Schizosaccharomyces pombe: one gene and its partner. The protein of the gene in region 2 purifies or fractionates together with the protein of the main gene of each other region. This does not show direct contact. Each region holds a gene or a part of one and is shown on either strand. Other genes may lie near its edges.

What was found. Proteins that work in one complex are often made in the same cells at the same time.
Region 1: the proteins of apc13 (region 2) and cut20 purify together in Schizosaccharomyces pombe (affinity purification with mass spectrometry; 4 studies listed by BioGRID, with this or other methods). This does not show direct contact.

What each region holds. Positions count from the first base shown.
Region 1 is NC_003424.3:4,039,444-4,046,483, reverse strand, and holds cut20 (anaphase-promoting complex platform subcomplex scaffold WD repeat subunit Apc4/Cut20), read left to right. Parts: upstream 1-1,859; 5' UTR 1,860-2,064; coding exon 2,065-2,302; exon of another isoform or gene 2,303-2,350; coding exon 2,351-2,570; exon of another isoform or gene 2,571-2,612; coding exon 2,613-2,735; exon of another isoform or gene 2,736-2,755; intron 2,756-2,826; coding exon 2,827-2,884; intron 2,885-2,910; exon of another isoform or gene 2,911-2,929; coding exon 2,930-4,450; 3' UTR 4,451-4,675; downstream 4,676-7,040. Other genes in the region: MutL family mismatch-repair protein Pms1, read left to right, coding at 51-1,307, 1,349-1,584; prp12 (U2 snRNP-associated protein), read left to right, coding at 4,720-7,040.
Region 2 is NC_003423.3:1,832,847-1,839,381, forward strand, and holds apc13 (anaphase-promoting complex TPR lobe accessory factor Apc13), read right to left. Parts: upstream 2,510-6,535; 5' UTR 2,450-2,509; coding exon 2,042-2,449; downstream 1-2,041. Other genes in the region: Hsp90 co-chaperone Cdc37, read left to right, coding at 1-174; SPOM_SPBC9B6.11C (CCR4/nocturin family endoribonuclease), read right to left, coding at 321-1,603, 1,733-1,958; SPOM_SPBC28E12.02 (BICC1 family RNA-binding protein), read left to right, coding at 3,481-5,472. UniProt on the Schizosaccharomyces pombe protein: Component of the anaphase promoting complex/cyclosome (APC/C), a cell cycle-regulated E3 ubiquitin-protein ligase complex that controls progression through mitosis and the G1 phase of the cell cycle.

The sequences.
Region 1 (7,040 bases), on a different chromosome or scaffold from region 2:
TGTTTGAGAGAATCTATATACGTTCACTCATTACTAACCAATTATTTTAGGAACTATTGACATCAATGTATCTCCAGACAAAAAATCTGTATTTTTGTCTGAAGAGGATTCCATAATTGAATTTATTAAAAACTCCTTGCAAAACCTATGTGAAAGCTGCGGACATGCAATTTCTTGTTCCAGATCGCAATCCATTTTTTCATATTCCTCGCAAATTCCTGATTCCTCTGGAGACAGTACAGATCAGGAATTGCCTCAGTCAATTCCAGCAACAGAATCCGAAACAAGTGATGACTCAAGTTTTTCTTATAAACGCTCACCATGTAAAAGAAAGCTCGTAGAAGCTACTGCTCAACCAGCAATATCCACTAGTGTTGCAGAAGGAGCGTCATTAGCACAAGTATCCAAACCTTTGCCAGAGCGTTTGCAAAAGGATTCTATGAGACGAAGTAGCCCATTAAACGAAAAAGTTACGGCCTCTTCCGAAAGAATGAAGAAAAAGCTTGCCCTATTCGCTTCTAGTACTGATACTTCTATGCAGAAAACAATAGACTCTAGTTTCCCACTAAAGCAACCCATCAATAAACCTAGCTCGAATCCTAACAATTTGTTACTAAATGATCCAAGTCCAGCATCAACACCTGTTGCTAAAACAATTAATTTAAACGAGATTGAGTCGGTACACAACGCAGAATCAGTTTCCACACTCTCGAGCATTCCTCGTACTGAGCAAACCAGTGTTGCGAACAGAATTCCGTCAAAAACTGCAGCGCTACAAAAGCTCAAATTTTTTCAATCTAGGCCCTTGGATGGTTTAAACAAGTTTAGTAAAAAAATAAATATATCTTTGAGTGGAGTGCAAAAAGATATTGTTCGAAGCGATGCCTTACTGAAATTTTCGAACAAGATTGGCGTGGTGCATGATATTTCAGATGAAAATCAGGAAGATCATTTGAATCTAACTGTACATAAAGCCGATTTTTTAAGAATGAGGGTTGTTGGTCAATTCAATAGAGGATTCATAGTGGTTGTTCATGGAAACAATTTGTTTATAATTGATCAACATGCCAGCGATGAAAAGTTCAACTATGAACATCTCAAAAGTAATTTAGTTATCAACAGCCAAGACTTAGTCCTTCCAAAAAGACTGGATTTAGCTGCTACAGAGGAAACTGTTTTAATTGACCATATAGATTTAATTCGAAGAAAAGGATTCGGCGTTGCTATAGATTTAAATCAGCGAGTTGGTAATCGCTGCACTCTTCTTTCAGTTCCCACGAGTAAGAATGTCATTTTTGACACTAGTGGTAAGTTTATTAACGAAGATCTTGACCTTTAACTTCTGTAGATTTACTAGAGATCATCAGTGTGTTGTCTGAGCACCCACAGATAGACCCATTTAGTAGTAGGCTTGAGCGAATGCTTGCTTCAAAGGCTTGTAGAAGCAGTGTCATGATTGGTAGGGCTCTAACTATATCCGAAATGAATACAATAGTTAGGCATCTTGCTGAGTTGAGCAAGCCTTGGAATTGCCCTCATGGAAGGCCAACTATGAGGCATCTCCTTCGATTAAAAGATATATAATGCGTAAAAGAAAGACTTTTTTAACGATTCTAGAATTTCAGCTATTGAATTAATGAATAATATTGGTTTATTTACAATGTATTTAAAACATAGCAATCAGCAATTATTAAAAGTGAATCTCTTATTGCCAAACTCAATTGAAATTTTTATCATTAAAGAATTATTTTAAGCGAACTTGAACCATGAGGAAATGATTTTTCTTTAGATGTAAATAAACATCGTACTAACGAGGTATGCACAGTTGGATAATCGCTTTCTTAATGTTTTGTATCCCTACAACTTTCATCAACTTCAGTTTTGCAATATCAGTCTTACTTCCTAATAAACCATCTATGCTAGCAAATTTAAAAAGGTTGTATGATAATTGTTGAAACTATCCATTCACTAGATATTTTATATACCTGAACAGGCTTTTATTGACTTGCTGTACTACAATAAACAAACTTCTACGAATCACCAAAATCATCCAGTCTTATCCAAATGGTGTCAAAATCTTTCAAATACCCTAAAAAGCATAAATTTGAATGGATTAATGAAACTAATAGAGTTGAAAGGGTTGGAAGTGGCCTTAAACGAGTAATCTTATGCCCTTCTATGGAACTCATTGCGATATTAACGTGTTCAAATCATTTGATTTGCTGTAGAAGTAACAGTCAAAGAATTTGGGATGTCGATTTTCATGATCTCGAGGCTACTGAATTGTGTTGGAATCACGATGGTACGTGGCTCGACTGGAAAACTTTTTTTGTATCATTAACATAAATAGGGAATTTAATAGTTGTTGGATTTAAAAATGGAGAGCTTAAAATTATTGATTCCTCCACAGGACATCTGGTTGAGCAAAGGCCAGCTTCCAGAGATTTAGCGGTTCTAATGATAACATGGGCCATGCAAGAAACGATAGTAAATGAAAAACGCAATGATTTTTTATTTGATGCCACTGCATATATGCCTTTACTTGGTACACTTCCTAGTTCGGCAAAAGAGTAAGTAGTAACACAAAGCGACTTGTCTCTTACATTTTTTAGGGAACGTATATTTTCTTCAAAAGCAATCGCACAATTTTTTGAGCCGAGGAAACGAGAGGGTGAAAATAACAAAAAAGTTGAGCTCTTAAGTATTTTGGATGAACGTGGAATTAGATACATAAAGTGCGTATCAAAAACCCCTTATTTATTAGCATCTTTCTAAAAGAAGTTTTTTTATCGATCGATACAAATTAGAAGTACTAACTATTCATAGTATGTTTTCGTCTTACAAAATCGGAGAAAGCGATTCTTTGAAATCAGCCTTGAACTTGGTATTATACCCATGTTATTAAATGTCTTGCTCACACAAATTATAGGGGGTTCCCATTTCACACAGCATAACCAACGACTTAGCATATCATGTTCTTATTTGTAAAGGAGGAACGAATATTTCTTTGAAAACACTTTATATGCCATTACTTAAAAATGATTTGGGAAGTATTGTGGATATTGCAACAATGTCTACACGTATGCAACATTTGGTAAGATATCTTGAGGAGGTATTGAATGCTATGTATGAAGAATTTGACAATGTCTTCAAATCAGAAGCTAGCTTTATTAAAACCTTTGATGCTTTAGTGTCCAAGTACAGTGACACAACTTTCTTTTCTTTACAACTAGAGTTATATCAATTTATAATGAACGGTATACCCAGCGACTTACTCAAAGAATGGATCAACGAAAGAGTCGGTGATCGAGTACTAAAAAATTGGGAACGGGCGATGGTGAATTCGTACACGTCCTTAATCATTTTCTGTCAGGAATTCGTAATACCTGCTTGTGAAAGGTTAACTGTATTATTATCTTCTGCCAGAGGAAAGTCAATATGGGGCCATATGAAGGGAAACACATTACTAGATGCTAAATTGGTGGAAGATTGTCTAGCAACTTTGGGTTATTTACAGAATAATGTTTTTTCGTTTCTCAATTGCCTTTTTGAGGAAAAAAAGTATATGAAGCACTTTATTTCATGGTTGAATTACGCTATCGTCGAGTTTAATACTTCTGAACCATCTTCTATTCCACCGCAAGAGATTATTGAACATATTAATGAAACCGTAATTTATATTCGTCATTCTTTATTCCGCTCGAAACTAACAAGTTACTTTATGGGCACAAAACCCCTTCAGCTAAGAGATCCTGATTATTATTCTCTCAAGGATTTTGCAAATCAAGACGACAGTAATTCTGTTGATGATTTCGTATCATTCAAAACCTTGAAAGAATCTTTAAGAGACTCATTCAACGTCATTTTTAGCTACCCTTCTTTAACTTGTCAAAAGCAATGGTTAAAAACCGGAGACCTTGTTTTGTTTGAAGGGACTGATTGGAATGTATCATCTCTTATACCAAAATCCTGTAATGAAAAAAACCAATTATTTTCATTATTCTTTCGAAAGGATACTCCGAATATATTCTTAATAATTTCCCAACTTATGGAAAATACTATGTTGCCTGTATCTGGATGCCACTTTGGCTTGGATTATGCAGAATTACTAGGAAGCAGTCTGTTGGATTTCCAGCCCGCAACTGTTTTAGACATGAAGCTTTTAAACGGAAGTAGTATTTTAATACTTGGAAAACTAAAGGAGAAGTGCTTCTTATGTGAAATTTGCTTAGCAGACGTTCCCTTAACCTTTTTTGAGCACCAGCAAAAAAACAGTTACCTTGATGCTATCAGTCATCTTCCTTTCATTCCACTAAACAGTTGCCTATGGCTGCATGAATTTGAGAAGGATTTCCTTCCTTCAACACTCGAATATGCCCTTTCTGAGAATAGCGATTACGGAGTCCTTATTTCAAGGGAATCTTCGAGATATCGTTTATTCTCTTTTTAATGAGCTTATGTTTAATGGTCGTAATGTTTTTTTTTTCTTGTTTTTGAAGAGCAAGTTACATTTTTTGTAGCGGTCTTTTAAATTTTCTTTTCTTTTTTTTAATTCTTTAATATAATTTAAAAGCAGAAAATTTATACAATATTTTCAATTGCAATAACTTCATTTAGAAAAGTCAACATATAACGAAGTTTTTTACCTTCTGCTATAAGTTTCCTTGATACACTGACTTCTTCTCTCAGCGAGGATCGTGTTTCAGCTAAAGTATAGAGATGGACACCTTCCCTTCTCTGTTTCTATATTCCTTAACAATACAGAATAGTAATTATGTTCAAAGTTCGTGTGCCGCGTCCTTGTCTGGTAAAAAGGCACAGGAGATAGTAATTGCTACAGAATCAAGGTTGCTTATATATAAAGTTGATGCAACTGATGGGAGAATGAATTGTATTTTAAATCAAAATTGTTTTGGTATTATTCGAAATGTTGCTCCTTTGAGATTAACTGGTTTTAAACGCGATTATCTCGTAGTCACGTCGGATTCAGGACGAATAACCATTTTGGAATATAACGTTGAAAAAAATAAATTAGTGCCAATATACCAGGAAACTTTTGGAAAATCAGGAATTCGAAGAGTTGTTCCTGGTGAATACTTAGCCATAGATGCGAAGGGGAGGGCCGCTATGATTGCATCTGTGGAGAAAAATAAGCTGGTTTACGTACTAAATCGAGATTCAGAGGCTAACCTAACAATATCTTCACCACTTGAAGCTCATAAAGCTAATAATATATGTTTCCATTTAATTGGGTTAGATACTGGTTATGCTAATCCCATCTTCGCTGCCTTAGAAGTCGACTACAGCGAAATAGACCATGACTCAACTAGAGAAGCATTTACATCTTCGGAAAAGGTTTTATCATATTACGAATTGGATTTGGGATTAAACCATGTTGTCAAAAGATGGTCGAAGGTCGTTGACAGAAATTCTTATATGTTAATCCCTGTTCCCGGTGGTAATGATGGGCCCTCCGGTACACTAGTAATATCTAACGGATGGATTTCCTACCGTCACCTTCAGAAGGCATTTCATCAAATTCCCATTTTGCGTCGTCAAGCTGCATCGGCAAACGCCATATCCACTCCATGGAATCAAGTCAATTCAAACTCTGCAAATGATGGTCCTTTGATTGTTAGTGCTGTTCTCCATAAAATGAAAGGATCGTTTTTTTATCTTTTACAAACTGGTGACGGGGATTTGCTGAAGCTGACAATCGAGCATGATGGTCAAGGGAATGTTGTTGAACTAAGGTTAAAATATTTTGATACAGTTCCCCTGGCAGTTCAGTTAAATATTTTGAAAACTGGTTTTCTATTCGTTGCCACGGAATTTGGAAACCACCAATTGTATCAATTTGAGAATTTAGGTATTGATGATGATGAATTGGAAATTACTTCTTTAGATTTCCAAGCCCAGGACAATGAAGTCGGTACAAAAAATGTGCATTTTGGAGTCCGCGGTCTACAGAACCTTTCTTTGGTTGAAGAAATACCAAGCCTATATTCGTTAACAGATACGTTACTTATGAAGGCGCCCTCGTCAGGCGAAGCTAATCAATTATATACAGTATGTGGAAGAGGCTCAAACTCTTCTCTGCGTCAGTTGAGAAGGGGTTTAGAAACCACAGAGATCGTAGCGTCAGAACTTCCCGGTGCCCCTATTGCAATTTGGACATTGAAATTAAATCAAACCGACGTTTATGACTCTTATATTATTCTTTCGTTTACAAATGGAACCTTGGTTCTTTCTATTGGAGAGACGGTTGAAGAAATATCTGATAGTGGATTTTTATCATCAGTCTCAACTCTAAATGCGAGGCAAATGGGAAGGGATTCGTTGGTTCAAATTCATCCTAAAGGTATTCGTTATATTAGGGCTAATAAGCAAACAAGTGAATGGAAATTACCTCAGGATGTGTACGTTGTACAGTCGGCAATTAATGATATGCAAATAGTTGTTGCTTTAAGCAATGGAGAACTCGTTTATTTTGAAATGAGTGATGATGTTGAAGGAGGTCAGCTCAACGAATATCAAGAAAGAAAAACGCTTACTGCTAATGTAACTTCTTTGGCTTTAGGCCCCGTACAAGAAGGATCAAGAAGAAGTAATTTTATGTGCTTAGCATGTGACGATGCTACGGTGAGGGTGTTGTCTCTCGATTTGTACACAACCTTAGAAAATTTGAGTGTACAAGCCCTTAGTTCTCCTGCCAATTCTTTATGCATAATTCCGATGAACGTAAATGGTGTGAGTACTCTCTATTTACATATAGGTTTAATGAATGGTGTCTATTTACGAACTGTTATCGACGTTACATCCGGGCAACTTTTGGATACAAGGACTAGATTCTTGGGTCCACGAGCTGTCAAGATCTATCCAATAACCATGAAAAATCAAAATACGGTGTTGGCGGTGTCTTCTCGTACCTTCCTTGCATATAGTTATCAACAAAACTTGCAACTATCACCAATCGCTTATTCTGCAATTGATCATGCTTCATCTTTTGCAAGCGAACAGTGTCCAGAAGGTATTGTAGC
Region 2 (6,535 bases):
CTCCAAAAAGCTCTTATGACCAATGATTTAGACAAGATTAATGTAGTTCTTGGAAAAATGGCAGTTGAAAATGCAGAAGAAGTTGTGGAAAAGCTCAGCAGTACTGGTATGTTGAGTATCGAAGAAGGAATCATCGACACAACGAAAGGTGAGACTATTCCTCAATTGTCTTAAATTTTTCTGCTTACGGGTGTGCTTTTAGTAAGCGAAAACACCAAAGTTACATGTTTGCCGTTGGCATTTTTAAATGGATAAACAACAATGAAATTTTATTTATTGATTTACCATACCTTGTGTGTACCGTATAATAAAATAAGTATTTAAACAATTTGTACATTTGCCATCAAAGCAACGTGGTCGCTGGGATATCTTCCTTCTAAAGGCTCCGCTTCCTTCATCTCACTGGGTAAAGGCACACGTAACAGTGCCTTTAATTTTATACCTTCAACGACTTGATTTTCGGGAGTTTGAAGTGAGGTATCACGATTCATAACAAATATGTAGTCCAAATGGCCCTGGTAAGCATGAGCCCAATTGGTAAATGCTGGATGATCAAACGTATTTTTTGCATTTTCTGGGTGAACCAGTTTATAGCCCACTGAATAAAGACTGAAAAGTACGGGATTTTGCTCGTGCTGCTGATAAAAAGAACGGTAGTGAGGTACATAGTCATTTTGTACATGCAAAATTCTCTTTTTTGGGGTAGAAGCTGTGGATTCGGGAACACTTGAGGTAGAAGAGGATTGACATTCTTCTTTGTCATCTTCATTGGAATCATTTTCTGTCTTAGTACTAGCATTTTTTTCTTCCAACTCAGATTCCCCAAATACGTAATTCATACTACGTTCTATAATGTCAGTAGCCCTTTGGCAGATGGATAGAGGGCGGGTAGTTAGCGCAGGAAAGTTGGTATCGAACGGTTCAGTGTTGAAGTCACCAGCTATAAAAACAGGCCAAGAAGGATGACTTTGTGCCATCTTGTTTACTTCCTTTACCAATATTGCACCTTGGCGTAACCTTTCGTAAGAGCCGTAAGGATGCCAAAATAAATGTGTAGTAGCCAAGAACAACCCTCTGCTCGGGTCATCTACCCTTTCAAGGCGTACACAACAACCGATGTTCTTGGTGTTCATTCTACCTGGTAATTCATCATGATCATCGTAATAAATAGTCAAATCTTGCACCTTTTTGAACAAAGAGGATTTCCAAAAAATCATAATTCCATGAGTTTTACCTTCACCTTTTATGAAATGCAATTCATAACCCAATCCACCTAATAACTTCTTGTAGAAATTAGGAACAAATTCAGCATCAACTTCTTGCATACATCCCAAAGTTGGTGAATAATAGGTTAATTCATTAGCGAGCATTCGTGAGCGATTTTTCCATTTTAATGCCTCACCACTGTGTGGAAACATTGAACGACGAATATTTGTCTGAGCAAGTACGTTGTAAGTCATAATAGTAATATCCAATGCAGACTTTTCAGTTTCAAACGGTGCATAATTAGGGATGGAGAGCATTTCACGCTTTATAAAGTCCGTATTGAATTCGGGTGGAGCATTGCTTGGTGGAGCAATAGGTTTTCGAGCAGCCTTCTTAGCTAATAATCAGTTAATAAAATTGAGCAACAAAAAATTAAACAAAGGAGTAGAGATTCGGTCTTAAAAAAAGTTTCACAACAACCTTCTTATTGTTGCTCGACTAGATGAACGAAAATTTTTTTTCATACCCATTTTCTCAAGTTTTTTTTGGCGTTGTTTCTCTATGTATTCAGGCGTTACGAACGAAGGAGGGCCTTTAGCTGAGCCTTTTTTCTTAACGGGTATCGAATCTGCCATCTTGTTCTTTTTCTGATCAAAGAATGATATAGCAAGTTTGGATAATCTATAATCAGTGTGGAATCGATCGATAAAAAACTTCAAAGTCAATGTACACGTTTTAGGACAAGTGTACATACAATGACTTTTGAGTAGACTTTATTTAAGTTTTCACAGCCGAAATGGATTAACGACTGTTGGTTCGTACAACCTCAGGTATATCATCTAAAATACCGCATACTAGCGTGCTCTCCTTGATGCCTTCTGTTCGCTTCAAGAAAAGGAGCCATTGGAGCTTCTTTGACTGATTTGAAAGGATCTGTTTCAAAATTATCTTCAATTGTATTTTTACCCTCGGCATTTGAAGAGCCTTGAATGAATGCAAAGGCATTAACTAAATCTTCGAGTTCCAAATCTTTCCAAGCCGGTTCATGCCTAAGCTGTTTGTTTTTCATTAAGATTAGATTTGCACTAGAATGTTGAATAGTCATCTCATCTTCTGTAACAGGTGGTAAGTGTTCTACTCGCACTTCGACATCGTCAACTGGAAGTCTATCTTTTAGCCAATCCGAGGCAAACAAAACTACTCCCGGTTTATTCATATGAACATAATTGTAATTCGAATCCATTAATTGTTTTACTGATTCCAAGTAGGAGACTTATGGTGCTTTTATACGGTTGGTGTTATTGGAGAAGTCGGTGGTAAGTGTGTAAACAAAGCATTTAGCAGCAAAGTCTACTAGTTGGGGGGAGGGAGATCTTTCCATGAAAATCAATTATAAGAATTCTAGATTAATTTCTTATTCACATAATTCTATGAACTTTTAAGTAGAAATAAAAATCAGTTAGGTGGTTTGCTACTATTCTTCTCAAAACCTTCGTCTCTTAATCTATTTATTCCTATTGGCATGTTATTTTTCTTGATAAATAAGGTAAATATATGTGCTTGCTTAGCTTACAAATTTCAAAGAATGACACTAATAGTGCAATGTTTTACTTAAGCTATGATTGTGTCCAAAACCCTAGCAATACTGACAGAGTTATAATGAAAAATTAAGCGTATATTTCACAATCATATAATCATATTCCCCCTTTTCTGAAAAAATGTCAATGGCAAATCATATACTGTTTTGAGTTAAAGAGGCTTTGGCAGATCATAAATCAGCCATCCTAATTAGTAAAAAGAATACAAAATTGTGATGGTTATGTTAAAAGTATTCCTAGTCATTAGTGCATCACCTTAGAGTCATGTGCTGTATATATATATGTGTCTACCTTTGCATAAACAAACTTGTATTCCACAGTCAAACTAGTACAATACACATCGTTCTGCGAAAACGTTCTGTTTATTTTTCAGCAAAAAATTAAAGTTTAAGCTATCATTCATTGCCAATCGCATATCAATTCCAAGATTTATTCATTGTTTATTTACATTTGGAAGCTAAACAATAACTTTCACGGAAGCAACAACACAACCAACAACCAACCCTTCAGAAGTAACTTTCGGAATAATTTTGTATTCAAACCTATATCGTTTATCATTCCTTTGGATTTCTTTTAATCTTTCTTTCGAACACGAAAAACTTACTCTTCACTAAGCTTCGAAATTTCCAATCAAACGATTTAACAATAAGAAAATTTTGTGCTTAAAATCACCAAAATGGATTCTCATGTTTTAGCATTTCCAATTCCTGATCCATCTACACCTCCTCCCGAAGAGGCATCCCTTTATGCTAGTAAATGTGACTATTATGAAAGCGATATTTACTCTCAAATTAGGAGATTAACCGAAGAAAAGTGCATTGAGACAGAAAAAGAGTTGCCAGTTAATATAAAACTACATGTCAAACATAAAGGAATGAGCATATCATCTTCCCGCAATGAACTAGTGGTTACTGTTTCAGGAAATTATAAAAATGTGTACACTGCAAAAATAAAGATTTTGCAAGCCATTCCCAAAATTCTAATCAGCAAACTTGTGCTCGAAGAACCCCTCGAAAACCTCCTTTTTGATGAAGATGGGTACGTTTATGAAGACACTATGAAACATTTGGACAAAATAACGGAAATAACGGGAGCAAAAATTTATATCATGCATCGTTCCATGTGTCATGATATCGATTTTCAGCTACGTACTGACAGCGGATTCAGCAATCGATTAAATGAACAACAAAGCTTCTACCAAAGGCATTTAGAGTCTACTAGGCATGAATTTTCATGTCAAAAGAACGCAGAGAATTCTTTTTTTATTGTCTTTTATGGTGACTATTGCAGCGTTGAACATGCTAGAATTCGCGTATTAGCATTAATGGATGAAATCAGAGGATTATCGGTAGTAGCTATTGCAACTTCTGTATCTTTTCAGCCAATTCTCGTTGGAAAAGCATTTTCTAGTACTGCCGGAATGAAGGCTACTGAATCAATTAATATTTATACATTACCGTTTTGCAGCGACTCAATCCCTCGGCTTCAAACCTTACCCGCCTTAAACTCAAGTAAAATAATTATTACAGGAGAAGAGGAAAAATTGCAAAGACTCGAAGAGGCGTTTTATTACGCAGAAGAACATCTAAAACTGTTTACTCACGTAACAGAAATTTCATTTGTTAAGCTTTTCGAATTTCTCGCTTACGAAATGGATGAGCTTCGGCTTATTATGGAAGAAAATTCTTCGTTTATTCGCTTTCCTGAGTATTTCAAAGAAGGAGGAGAAACGAGCCCAGAAAATTCAAAAGTCAAAATCTACTCATCTTCTATAGCGAATTCTGAAAAAACAGCACTCCGATTGGCAAAGCTTGCAAGTAAATATGTACAAGGAAAAACTCAGTTTGGAGTTGAAGACAACGAAGACTTTCTGAGAGTTGCTGGTTCTTGGAGAAGAGCGTCTACAATTGAAAAAGGAGTTTCAAGCTCTGAATTGTCCTCTATTGTATCCTCGACTGGCTCCATAGTGGAAACAAATGGAATAGGAGAAAAAATGTCATTCTCTCCTCTTAAGAAGCTAAGTATTCCACCAACAGAATTTGTAGCTCAAATTGCAATAATTTGCATGGCTTCTGGAGTCGAAATGCTCCTAAAAACCAATGGGATTGAATATTTCGGACAAGAAAACACCGTGCCTATAGCAATGGATAAAGCAAGCAAAATATTTTATAAATTTGGACAATCCCAATGGCACCAGATACTGCTTGAAGCCCCAACCAAGGATCAAGATTTCATATCCGGTAAAAAAAATGGAAAACTGGATAAGGTAAAGCAGCAATGCCGTTTCAACTTAAAGAATGGGGACATCTTGTTTTGTCCCCAGTCGACGAGTATATTCACGGTTGATATATATAGTGACGAATTGGAAAGAGTAATTAAAGGAATGAACACAATGTTGCTTGAATTTCCAGCTGAGATGCACTTTTACGTTCCAGAGGAGATTCACAAAAAACTCATTGGATTTCGAGGAGAGCAAATCCAACGTGTAACTAAACTTTATAATAGTTACATTGAATTCTCAACTACTCCTTTTGACTGTTACGGGCACAACGTGCTCATTCGCACACCATCAAAGTTCTCCGAAAATTTGTGGGCCGTCCGATCTTTATTCATTAAGACAGCTGAAGGATTAGGATACGACATCCCGAAGTATTTGTTTGCTAATTGAATTTTAAGTCAGAATCCAGTCATCGACCTGCCCATAGATCACCACACTTTCTCGTTATATTTTTTATGTCCATAACAGACACTCAAGCTGGTTATTAAATTCGGAAACTAAATTTTTTGAAAATCAAAAGTGCTCCACTGTATCAACTTTGATACACATCTTAAGTGCACAATATAATTTAATGAACGTGATCCACGCAGAATTTTGAAGCACATGACAAGTTTAAACTTTAAGCAGTTCAACGATTTGTGCAGGACGGCAACCACTGTTCGTATGCCTTTTTTATTTCTTATTTTGTTAATAAATTGTCATTGAAAACAAAAGATAAAACGTCGATAAACACAGCTAGATTGATATAATAACAACAAACATCTTTTCAGTAAAAAGAAGTAGAAACTGGCACTAACCGTTATTAATCAACTTGCTATACGCTGTGACATCTAACACTCTTTGACCAGTTAATTAGAATCGTATTTGATGAGAAAACGATATTGAGTTAATCCATCCACTTTCTTTGGAATGCATGATGATTAAATTAGTAAATTAAAGAAACAAAAAGGGATTACACAAGAGTTGTTAAACATAAAGACGTCGTTCGACTATAAAAAAAGACGTGTGAACCGTAATGCACCCTTTGCGGTTATTGGGTTTCTTCGGTTTTTTTTATACAAATTATATTACGCTTAACTGAACGAACTAATCAAGTAGCACAGAAACAAGCCACTCTTATTTTTTCTCAAGAGTCGAGCAATACTTCGTTCTCGCTGACAGGATTGCTAATAACACTAACGAAAGATGAACAGGGGGAATGTTGTATAGTTCATTTTTAGTCGTACAATAAATCTCGATAAATTTGTATAAGCAATATCATTTTAAATGTTTCAAAATCTCAAAATAATATGAAGGAAGCAACCATCACTTACACAAAGTATGAAACATAAGGAAACGATATAGAAAGAATCTGGAAAATAAGCAAATATTAATAATAGCTAGATCGAAACCTGGTGGTTTATTCGCTGCAAAGCCATAGCGGTAACAAAAGGAACAAATGCCAGTGTAGCCT